Caenorhabditis elegans: one gene and its partners. The protein of the gene in region 1 interacts with the protein of each later gene in a pairwise test. Each region holds a gene or a part of one and is shown in the gene's direction. Other genes may lie near its edges.

Region 1 (4,471 bases):
GCAGCTGCTCTCGGGATGATTCCTTCCTCTTCACCATTTCCTCCTCGCATCGTGTGAGTTTTGCCACTTCCGGTTTGTCCATAGGCAATCAATCCGACGTTGTACCCATGCAGTGACGACTGAAATTATCAATTTTCAATTATTAATATTATATTTTGAAACTAACCCGAATGAACTCCTCGACGTTCGCGAACACTTCCTTCTGCGAGAAGACTGGCGTGAAAACCTTCTCGAATTTGACCACAATTCCAGGCTTCGAGCCTTCATTGATTCTGATGGTATCGATAGCCGGATACTCAATTGCAGAACTCGAGGCGTCGGCTTCAGATTTGATCAACGGCCGAACGCGAACAGCCACACGAATTTGACCGCGTAAATCGACAACATCGTTGTGCAACTTTCTCAACTCAGCTTCCTTTTCGTTGAGCAGATCCCGGAGATCGTTGTTGTGCACACGATAATCCTCGCACTCCTCCACTTTCGCCTTGTTGACTTCTTTCAGCGTGCTCAATTGATCTTGCAGTGAAATCAGCTTGCGATCCGCTCCTTCAAGTTTGCCATCCAGGATTTGGATCTTGCTCTTCTGATGTTCAGCAAAGTCGGTAGCCTCAGCCATCGCACTCTCGAGCTGCGCAATTTTCTCTTCAAGAAGCGCCATCTTAGAAGGGAGAATAGGCTTCTGTGCCACTGGTCGGGCTCTTGTCACCGACGGCTTCAGGGAAGAAGTCGCAGTTGAGCGTTGAGTGGATGGTGGCGGTGGACGACCTGTGCGAAGTTGTCGAAACGTAGAAGCTGCCGTCAGTGTGGAAATACGGCTCGCGGTGGATTGCATCGTTGGTATGGGACGGGAACACGACGCTGGTTTGGCCATCGCTGATCGTTCTGGCAACGATGCTCTACCAGTTGCAGGCGTTGTGGGGGTAGGCAAACGAGACGGAGGACGACGAGCAGCGGCTGAAAACTCGTAATTAAAGTAGTTGTTAACAAAAAAGGTTTTAAACAAAAACAAAAACATGTTTTATTTAGAAGTGTGAACACTTTGAAATCACGAGGAAGTTATTTAAAAACACAAATGACAAATTTACCTCCAATCGTTATTCCTCCAGGAGCCGACTGTCTTGGGATTGTTGTTGAATTGGCTTCTTTGGTGGATGGCGCGGCAGCACGTCCTCTTGTGATCTTCGGCGTTGCTCCGATAGTCGACCGAAACAGGCCACTTCTTCTTCGAGCGACATTCATCGCGAAATTTGGGACAAAAATGAGGAAATCAGCCCCTTCATTGACATTTTCCCGCTCAAAGTTGAACTCCGCCTCTGAAAATTCCCGCCAAATCGAATGGATTACCGTAGTCAACTACGGTATTAGATCAAAAATTTATATCATGTTGAGCTCATCCAGAATTGTCGGATATAATTATTTTGTTGTCAAAAGGCATAAAGAATGCCGTAAAAATTATTTATAACTATAACACAGAAGGCTTATCCATAATTGCACTGATATCAGGTTATACAAACAAATATATAAAATGCAGGTCTAGAAATTATAATGTGAGCGACACTCCGATATTCCGGTGCGCGCCTTGTTTACCGTATATCTACACCAAAGTAATTGCAAAAAAAAAATTTGAAAATATTTGCTTGCGAAAATTTTTATACACTTTCTTCAATATTTTGATTTTTCTGTGGTTTTTTAAAAATATAGGTTGGTAAATGATTGTTTCCAGATGACTTCTATCGATGTAACAGAGATTATCAAATCATCGACATCTTCTTTGTATCAGGTAAATTGATATTAAATTTTTTTGATTATAAATAGTTTACAGCCAGCAAGAAAGAAATCTCGTTTTGACGATAGTGCTTCTTCTTCATCTCAAGCTGGCCAGCCAAAACCAGAAGATATTCTTGCGGCTTTGGAAGCCGATCAATCAAATTATGTGGCTCTCGACGATGTGCAAGTTAAGAAACTTGTTATTCAACTTGACAAAAAGATGCGATTAAATCGAGAACAAAGAGTTAAAAATCCAGATGATGCTCAGAAATTCATGGAATCGGAAATTGAATTAGACAAGGCAATTCAAGAAATGCATAGTCTGGCTTCTCAACCAGACCTTTATGGATCGTTTGTTGAAGTCAACGGAGTTGAAATTCTTCTTCAATTATTAGGACACGAGAATACTGATATTGTGTGTGCAACACTTAGTCTCTTGAGAGAACTTACAGACGATGATGTGATGAACGAAGGAGAAGATGGAGCAGCTGAACTTATTGAAAGTCTTGTGTCTGGATCGATTATCACAACTTTGTTAGCATGCGTAGAGAGGCTCGATGAAAGCGTCAAAGATGAAGCGGATGGCGTCCATAATGCACTCGGAGTTGTGGACAATGTAAGAAAAATCGATATTTGAAAAACAAAACAATATATTTTCAGATGATTGGTTTCCGCGATGACATTACTGAAGAATGCGTAAAGCACGGATTCACGGTTTGGCTTCTGAAAAGATGCTTTCAGAAAGGTGCATTTGATGCGAATAAGATGTACGCTTCGGAACTTCTTTCAGTCATATTGCAGACTTCTGATACTGCAAAGGCAAAGCTGACAGAGAAAATTGATGGCATCGATATTTTATTGAGAGTGAGTAGCCAAACAAAGTATCAAGAATAAATTGAACTTTTAAGACCATTGCTGTGTACAAAAAGAACGATCCAGCAAATGTAGACGAACGAGAATACATGGAAAATCTATTCAACTCACTTTGTGCCGCACTTATGCATCCGGCTAATCGAAGTACGAATTTTTTTGAATATAAACACCAAAAAAATTGCTCTTGTTCAAAATAAATGTTTTCAGAAAAGTTCCTCGACGGAGAAGGTCTTCAATTGATGAATTTGATGCTCCGAGAGAAGAAACAAGCAAGACAAAGTGCTCTGAAAGTTCTGAACCATGCAACATCAGGAGACGAGGGAATCGAAAATTGCAATAAACTTGTCGAAATGCTCGGATTGAGAACAATTTTCCCGTTATTCATGAGAACACCTTCAAAGACAAAAAGAAAGGATACGACACCTGATGAACATGAAGAACACGTTTGTACGGTAAGATTTATGTTGTGATATTATTTTGAATGTTTTAGCTTCAAAATTGGACTGGTAAATCGGACTTTCGGTTTTTCTCCTTTTTTGAACAAAAATTGAGTTTTCAAATCTGCCTTGCACTTTTTGATACTTATCGAACATATAATTAAATTAAAAATCGAAAAATCTATTTCTACGAATTACATTTTACAAAAAGTGACTAATTTATATTGTAGGAAATGTTCTTTTGATGATAAATAATAATTTTTTAGATTCTCTCTTCACTGCTGGCAGCATGTTCGGAGAACCACCGTCAACGAATTGTTCAAAAATTTGTTGAGCACGAACATGAGAAAGTGGACAGAGCTGTGGAGCTATTTTTGAAGTACAAGTGAGTTGAAGCACATTCCGTTATGAAAAATAATTTTATTTCAATTTCAGAGAAAAAGTTCAACGATTTGAATTGAAAAAGAAGCGTCAATCACAAGAAGCTGGAACATCAGAAGATGATGATCCAGATCGAGCATATTTGGATAAACTAGACAATGGTCTCTACACGCTTCAACGTCTTACTCTTATACTCGGTGAAGTGGCAGTTGGTGTTGAATCGGCTCGTCTCAGAGAGGAGAAGCTTTTCCAAATGAAAATGAGCCAAAATCGATTGGATTTGATGTTGTGTCCAATTATTCAAGAATACAGTGACAATCTTGGTGATGATGCTAATATTGAGCAAGAAAGAGTCCTCGTTATGCTCAGTAAAATTGAAGATTTTTACAAATAATTTATCACTAGCATTTTTCCTTTATTTATTTTTTGTTCTCCGGTTTATGAAAAGTTTCAAGTTTGTGCTATGAATTTGTGTTTTGTTTTTAATTTTATTAAATTTTCAACTGTTGCATGCAGTTTTTCATATTTAAATACTCCAAGATCTAAAAATTAATGTTTCAAACCAATTTTTTTTAAATCGATAAACTTTTTAAAAAAGCTTTATAGATTGGATTACTAGCAAAAGTTTGAAGATTCGAAGAAAATTTGCCATTTATCAAAAATTATTTCCAATGGCCTAATTTACTATCATTCAGATAAAAATGCCTCCTATTCCTCCTCCAACTTTTGTTGGAAGAATAGCTTTTCATCTGAAATCTGATGATGATTTCCGAACAGCTATCGATGCATTTATGGCATCTTTTGCCGTGGTGGCTACCGTATCCGCATCAACTTCCAGCTTCGTTTTTGGAATTCTTGCGAGTTTACTGACGATTCTGATTGCTTATCTGTTCGCGAGAAAACGTGTATTCACCAACAAATCAATTCTGATGCCTGCTGCACTTTTGGGCTGTGTGAGTGGATTTTCTACATCTCGAGTATTTTTTTCTAGATTTCAGGCTGTAGCAGTGAGC
Region 2 (4,307 bases), on another chromosome or scaffold:
TCAGCATGAAGTCGATGCAGAATAATTTACCACAGGCATCAGCATCCTCAAGTTTGGCAGCAAATTGGACAAAGGAGTTTCAACCGCGACAGGTATTTCTAATGCATTCATATATTGGTATTTTCAATTGATTGCTTCAGAACCAGTTAGCGAGTCAATGGAGTCAACAATACACATCTAGTGCTCCAAGCATGGAATCTGCATGGCGTCAAGTTCAAGCTCCATCAATGACATCCACGTCATCACATCAACCAATAACAGATGCTGGTATGTGGTCATCTGAATATCTGGATACTGTGGATACTTCTTTAACCAAATCTTCTGGGACTCAAAACTGGGCTGATGATTTTATGGAGCAACAAGATAATTATGGAATGGAAAACACTTGGAAAGATGCACAGGCTTTTGAACAGAGATGGGAGGAAATTAAGAGAGATATGGAAAAGGACGAATCTCTTCAAAGTCCTGAAAACTATGTTTATCAGGTAAGATTTTTGTCTTCTTTAACACATTTTTATAACCCTCCTATTCAGGAAGCAAACCCTTTCACAACCATGTCAGATCCACTGATGGAAGGAGACAATCTAATGAGAAATGGAGATATTGGAAATGCCATGCTTGCCTATGAAGCAGCAGTTCAAAAAGATCCTCAGGATGCACGTGCCTGGTGTAAATTAGGATTGGCTCATGCTGAAAATGAAAAAGATCAGTTAGCAATGCAAGCGTTCCAAAAATGTTTGCAGATTGACGCTGGAAACAAGGAGGTAAAATTTGAGAAAAATATTTGATTATTTGATGCCATAAAATAGATAGGTCGCGATAAAATTCATATCTGTCTCTTAAAACTTTTTAAGAACAGAAATTAAGAAAAAAAAAAAAAAACTTCCAATAAAATCAAAATTATTTCAGGCACTTCTTGGTTTGTCTGTCAGTCAAGCGAACGAAGGAATGGAAAATGAAGCTTTACATCAATTGGATAAATGGATGTCTTCTTACTTGGTATTTCTTATTTTTATTTCAAGAATAATCCCACACGAATAAATATTTTAAGGGTTCAAACTCGACTCAAGTGACAACCACACCTCCACTCTACTCTTCATTTCTGGACAGTGACACTTTTAATCGAGTTGAGGCTAGATTCTTGGATGCTGCTCGGCAACAAGGAGCAACTCCAGATCCAGATCTTCAAAATGCTCTCGGAGTTTTATACAACTTGAATCGCAATTTTGCAAGAGCTGTCGACTCTCTCAAGTTGGCGATCTCCAAAAATCCAACTGATGCTCGTCTCTGGAATCGTCTTGGTGCTACGTTAGCCAATGGTGACCACACAGCTGAAGCCATTTCAGCATATCGAGAAGCTTTGAAATTGTATCCAACATATGTCAGAGCAAGATACAATTTGGGAATATCTTGTATGCAATTATCATCTTATGATGAAGCTTTGAAACATTTTTTATCTGCATTAGAATTGCAAAAAGGAGGAAATGATGCATCTGGTATTTGGACAACTATGAGGTTAGTTTATAGCTTTATATGTTAAAATCACCTTCACAAATTTCAGATCAGCAGCAATCCGAACATCGAATGTCCCTGACAATTTACTGAGAGCAGTGGAAAGACGAGATTTGGCAGCTGTAAAAGCCTCTCTAGTCTAGAATAATTACAATTTAAATACTAAAATAAATAATTATTTTTCCTCGAATTTTTTTACTTGGTTTTCAAACTTTCATTTTGAAAATCTCAATTTCAAGCCGATCACGAGTTTGGAAGGGTCATAAAATGTTATTACAGCGGTAAGAAAGCAGGAAGTAAACCGACCTAGCACAAAAAGTGTTCAGCTCATTTTGTTTTGTTTGTAGAACTCACATTGTTAGAGCTCAATGAAATGATTGAATAATGCCTAAATTAAAATAACATTCTTCAAGACTTCTAGACACTAAGTAATCAAATCCTATCATTTCTCTTACGGTGAATTTCTACAAAATGCTCAGAAATTCCACATGAGTCACCGTTCCATGAGTAAAACCTCGGAACATATGACTGATTCTATTTATTATCATCTTTCCGCCACCCTCTTCCAAACGTCTCACTCTTTTCTATTTGCCGGTCATCGAACACATTCTTCCTTTTCTCTTTCTGTCTTTGAAGCACATGACATGGCCATTTATCATGAAAAGGTACAGCTGGTTGAAGAAGAAGAAGATCCGAGAGAAACAGCTCCAATTGAGAGGAGCACAGTCACAAGTTTTCTCTTTCTTTTTTCCTCTCTTCTATCCAAAACATCTTCAATAGCTGTAATATTCCCCTGGAAATCTTAGTTCAACTTGTTCTTGATTTATGATTTGTTGGCTCAATTTATCGATATTTTATTTTGTATTCTCTCTGTATCAATGTCATCAAGAAGAATTATCACAAAATATAGAAGTCACTGCATCTGATTCTGCAGCAGAACATGAAGTGTTTGAAGGAATATCATCAAATGTGAGTTTTGAGTTGAAGATTGCTTCTAAAGTTTAAAACTTAGTTATAGATTGCTGGGAAAGGAGAAAAGTTAGAAGAAGAAATAGATAACATTGGTATTGTAATGCAACCAGAGCCACGAGTTGTCCATGAAGCTTCCGAAGTATCAGACAACATTGAACTTAATATCAAAGACGACCTAAACTTGAAAAGTAGACTGGACAACTTCACAAGAGCTAAATTCAGGCAATCAACCACCGTAACACCTAATATTGTTGCTGTGGAGCCTTCTATTGAAGGTGTTGAAGACGATTTAGATCATGATGAACAAGGTGAAACATTTAGAATCAATTTAATATTTTTTTCATATTGAACTCATTAGATGTAGACGATTAACCTGTATCATCAGCATGTTTCAGGAGAACCAGAAGACAGTGAAATTCGAAATCGGAACGAGCACCATTTTGCTGAGTTGGGCGGAAAAATGAAGGAACGCAGGGATCATGTAGATGATCCCGATATTCAAGAACCATTGAATAAGCCAATATCGGCTATTCCAGAAGAGACTTCAAATTCTGCAACTATTCAATATGAAAGAAGTTCGTCTGGAACACAAAACCCGCAAACTTCTTTAAATATTCCGACTGCTCAGAATGTACCAAAACTAAAACAATTAAAAAATCAAGAGATTCTAAAGGATCATTTTATTTCGGAAGTATCAGATGTTTCCAACGTTGCAGATGTTTCAGCGCCTATTGTTATTAGTCAAGTACCTGAAATATTGAATGGAGAACCCGCAGGAGTACCTGCCAATTTTGAAGAAGAAGACAAAGAACGTGTAGAAGAAGAGGAAGATCGCATCAGTTGGGATCTTATTCATTTTCTACTTTTGTTAAGTCCATATGAAGAAGGTGAAGTTACTTGGTGGACAATTGTTCTTGAAGCCGTTAAGGTTAGTTTTTGATAAAGTATAAATATACGAAAATATTTTAAAAATTCAGTGCTCTCTTCGAAGTTGTCATAATTCATCATCTCACTGGCATGATAGATCTGTGTATCTTCCGAGAATAACTCGACATCGTCGTCAAGATTCAGACTATTTACCTGGAGCACTTTCTCCAACAACACCAAAACCCTGTTTGTGCAACAATTTAGAGGTTGATATCAAAACGTTATTATTAATGATTTAAATTTTACAGACTTATTTCGAAAAACTGTATGAATCAGTTGGGAAAAAAAAGAAGGAAAAGAAAATATCAAATTCAACAACGAAATTTGTATAAAAATTCCGTAAATATGTACGTAATTCAATAAAGGTTCAACTTTTATACTATAATTAAACAAACAAATACAAACTATTTCTGCTTCAAAAATCTATATTTTCAAAGAATAAATAGCTGACTTACTCATGAATCTGAGAACAGAATCAAAAGTAAATGTTTTTGGAAGTTCTCAATCTTTTTAGAAACATAACAATCAAACGTATGTTCTAAAACGATTTAAAACCTTTAAAAAAATTTATTAACTGATTCAATTTTCAGATCAATGAGTAAATGAGTTATTGATCGTTTGAACTCTGAAAATCCGATCGTCTTCTGCTTTTGAAGGAAGTATTAATCCACGTATCTGGCTATTACTCCAAAATAATATAACAGCAGATCTGAAACTTAATGCATTAAACATCAAAAAGTTATCGCCTACCCAACAGTAAACATATCAAACGCCAGAAATTGAGCAGTGAATAATAAATCAGATGACATGCAACTAGTGCAAAACGCATATAGAGCCTGAAATTTTTTGAAAAATTCAAATAATAACGGGAAAAATTATTGCGAGCAATGTCTAAA
Region 3 (3,183 bases), on another chromosome or scaffold:
CGTGGATCCGGAGCCCCAGGAGGACCAGGAGCCCCAGGAAACGCTGGACCAGCTGGACCAGCCGGACAAGACGGAGCCCCAGGACAAGACGGACAACCAGGACCAGCCGGACCAGCTGGACAAGATGGAGCCCCAGGAAACGCTGGATCCGATGGACAACCAGGAGCCCCAGGAGGACCAGGACTTCCAGGAAACGATGCCGCTTATTGCGCTTGCCCACCAAGATCCGCTGTCTTCGTCTCCCGCCATTAGATTGGTTCAAGACAAGCATCGTCTCTTTTCTTTTTATCAAAATAAAATCATTTTCATTCAAATTTTACTTTTAATAATACATCAAACTACAAGTTAATGTTTGCCGAACACACGAGAGACATTCTTATTTCAATAGTCATTTCGAAAAATTTCACTTTGTCTTTTTGGTCTGCCATGAAGATAAGTGTAATTCCACCTGACAAGAGTGCGAGGAAAGAGGCTGAAAGGTTTCATTGTTTAGTAGACGACAAAAATGTTGGTTGTAATAAACATAAAGTAAATGAAGTGTGTTTTTGTTAAGAATGGCTTAGAAAAAAGTGTAACTTAAATATCATTATGCAGTCTGTGACTAAAGGTCACTAATTTTTTCACAAGATGAAATGGGATAAAAGTTTCGCCAAGTTCGGACGAGTTTAGAGTCGAAAATTTGAATACCGCTTTGAGAAATTATCAATTTTTCTACGATTTAACTAGGAAAGACATCAAGGCTTTCAGTCATGGAGATTGCGAATAGTAGGAACACTAGTTTATAGGTACCTATCAAGTAATAAGAGCATACACATGTACAAGGGTTTTGCTGGTTTTTGCACCCATCGGCTGACAAAATACCTCAATCAGCGAAACAATATTCGGTAATATACCAAGATATGCAATACGAATAGTGACTAGTGAATAATTAATTTACACTAGTTTTCGCGAGTCGTAACATTGTCAAGTTGACAAAATTTGAGTTTTTACCCGGAAATGGATTATTTTTTCAATCTTCAAACTGTCATAACTTTTTTTGTGAAACTTTCTAGACATCTCATTTTAAAATGAAGTGCTTTCGAGGGAGATTTCGGAGTCTAATAAAGCAATGACTTACATTTTGTAAGGCCAGATATAAAATGTTCATCAATGTTTTGTTTTACATATTCATCAACAACCATTCTAAAAATTCAGTCAGGCGCACCCCGTGAGCGATCCAAGAGGTTTAATTGTAAATGTTATCATCCAGTCAAGGAATTTTAAGGTAACGCAAAATATTTCTAAATAACATCCCATCTGACACATTCAGATCGCAACATATCATGCAATCGCCTCGAGAGAAAGTTGTCCGTCCTTCTTCCTCTATCACCTACTGAGAGAAAAGCATTTCATCTTTGTCCGCTTTTTCTCTACGGCCTGCCCACTTTACTATCTTCCTCGTTTGTGGCTTCTGAATGAGGAAGTTGAGGCAAGAAAGACAAGAAAAAAAGCGAGTTCATGGAGACAAATGGAATATTTCATTACACATCTCTATGCAAAAAAAAACTGTATGAGTAATTCAAAAAGAGGAGTATAAAAGGAGGCAAGATAACTAGGAAAGACACCAAGGCTTTCAGTCATGGAGAAGATTCTTGTAACCTTTTCTACCGGAGCTGCCTCCATTGCTGTTCTTGCTGTTCTTTTCACCGTCCCATCCCTCTACAACACCATCAATGAAGTTCACGATCAGGTTTATATATATATACTTTTACAAAATAGTTAAAACAAAATTTCAATTTTATAGGTACTCGATGGAGTCTCTGTTTTCCGTGTTGAGACCGACTCTGCATGGACCGAGATGATGGACATCCAGATCACCGTTACCCCACCAACCAAGCCACGTGTCAACCCATTCAACTCCGTCTTCCGTCAAAAGCGTCAAACTTTCTCTGGACTTCCAGCCTGGTGCCAATGTGAGCCAACTAAGCCAACTTGCCCACCAGGACCACCAGGACCACCAGGACAGCCAGGAGCCCCAGGAACCCCAGGAGCCCCAGGACCAAAGGGAGACGACAACACCGCTACCTTCGCTCCACTGACCTGCGCCCCAGTCTCCCAAGATTGCGTCAAGTGCCCACAAGGACCAGCAGGACCAGCCGGACCATCAGGACCAGCCGGACCAGCCGGACCAGACGGACAACCAGGATTCCCAGGACAACGCGGTAACGACGGATTCCCAGGAGCCCCAGGAGCCCCAGGAGACAACGGACAACCAGGAACACCAGGACAAGACGGATTCCCAGGACAGCCAGGAGCCGACGGACAACGCGGATCTGGAGCTCCAGGAGCCCCAGGAGCCCCAGGAAACGCTGGACCAGCTGGACCAGCAGGACAAGATGGATTCCCAGGACAAGACGGAGCCCCAGGACCAGCCGGACCAGCTGGGCAAGACGGATTCCCAGGAAATGCTGGATCCGATGGACAGCCAGGAGCCCCAGGAGGACCAGGACTTCCAGGAAACGACGCCGCTTATTGCGCTTGCCCACCAAGATCCGCTGTTTTCCTTTCCCGCCATTAAATTTACTTTCATTGTATTCTCAATACTTTCCATGTCATAAAATAAAATTTTTACTTTGTCTTTCATATTTTTAACAGCCTTGTTTACCGATTGAAATCAGCTGAAAACATAAGGAGAAGTCAACAGTAGCACCCGATTGAAGCAATGTAGTGTAAAATCATGTAGTTACTCAACATTTATTGTTTGATTCAACCTTTTCTTCTGTTGTCCAATATAACCAAAAACAACAACAAAAACATTTTTGAGATACAAAATCATTGCTACATCATTAATCAATCTTCATAAAGTCTGATTTTTCGCTTCGAAAAAGAAGCGTTCAAATTAGAGTCAGCCGACCAACAATCTGATCCTGTTTCGAACACCGCAGGTGTCAGATGGATAAGTGACAATGTTGCGGAAGAAAGAGAGATGATGGGAAAAGTTTTGAAAAAAAAACTGGCTTTCCTTTTTTTAGGGATCCTTTGATGGAACCCAGAACTGTGGGAAACATTTAATCCAAATATTTTGGCTAAATAGTTTCATGTATAGGAAAGAACAACAAACATGTTTTAATTAAACATAAAACGCAATTTGAATTTGTTACATTATTGTATTCGAAGATACATTTAAAAAAATTAAACTTTAAA

What was found.
Region 2: the proteins of ctnb-1 (region 1) and cup-16 interact in a two-hybrid assay, tested with the Caenorhabditis elegans proteins (one large-scale study listed by BioGRID).
Region 3: the proteins of ctnb-1 (region 1) and col-145 interact in a two-hybrid assay, tested with the Caenorhabditis elegans proteins (one large-scale study listed by BioGRID).

Annotation. Positions count from the first base shown.
Region 1 is NC_003279.8:5,577,943-5,582,413, forward strand, and holds ctnb-1 (Beta-catenin-like protein 1 N-terminal domain-containing protein), read left to right. Parts: upstream 1-1,723; coding exon 1,724-1,780; intron 1,781-1,822; coding exon 1,823-2,383; intron 2,384-2,427; coding exon 2,428-2,631; intron 2,632-2,675; coding exon 2,676-2,784; intron 2,785-2,847; coding exon 2,848-3,092; intron 3,093-3,343; coding exon 3,344-3,462; intron 3,463-3,512; coding exon 3,513-3,852; 3' UTR 3,853-3,920; downstream 3,921-4,471. Other genes in the region: klp-15 (Kinesin motor domain-containing protein), read right to left, coding at 1-119, 167-954, 1,086-1,239; M01E11.1 (Protein-S-isoprenylcysteine O-methyltransferase), read left to right, coding at 4,160-4,411, 4,457-4,471.
Region 2 is NC_003280.10:8,705,067-8,709,373, forward strand, and holds cup-16 (uncharacterized protein), read left to right. Parts: upstream 1-2,088; 5' UTR 2,089-2,337; coding exon 2,338-2,481; intron 2,482-2,530; coding exon 2,531-2,792; intron 2,793-2,879; coding exon 2,880-3,412; intron 3,413-3,461; coding exon 3,462-3,617; intron 3,618-3,622; exon of another isoform or gene 3,623-3,659; coding exon 3,660-3,743; 3' UTR 3,744-3,794; downstream 3,795-4,307. Other genes in the region: prx-5 (TPR_REGION domain-containing protein), read left to right, coding at 1-92, 141-485, 534-764, 910-999, 1,052-1,515, 1,562-1,655; srg-15 (Serpentine receptor class gamma-15), read right to left, coding at 4,003-4,120, 4,162-4,247.
Region 3 is NC_003283.11:9,161,425-9,164,607, reverse strand, and holds col-145 (Putative cuticle collagen 145), read left to right. Parts: upstream 1-1,602; 5' UTR 1,603-1,618; coding exon 1,619-1,729; intron 1,730-1,783; coding exon 1,784-2,557; 3' UTR 2,558-2,616; downstream 2,617-3,183. Other genes in the region: col-10 (Cuticle collagen 10), read left to right, coding at 1-252. UniProt on the Caenorhabditis elegans protein: Nematode cuticles are composed largely of collagen-like proteins. The cuticle functions both as an exoskeleton and as a barrier to protect the worm from its environment.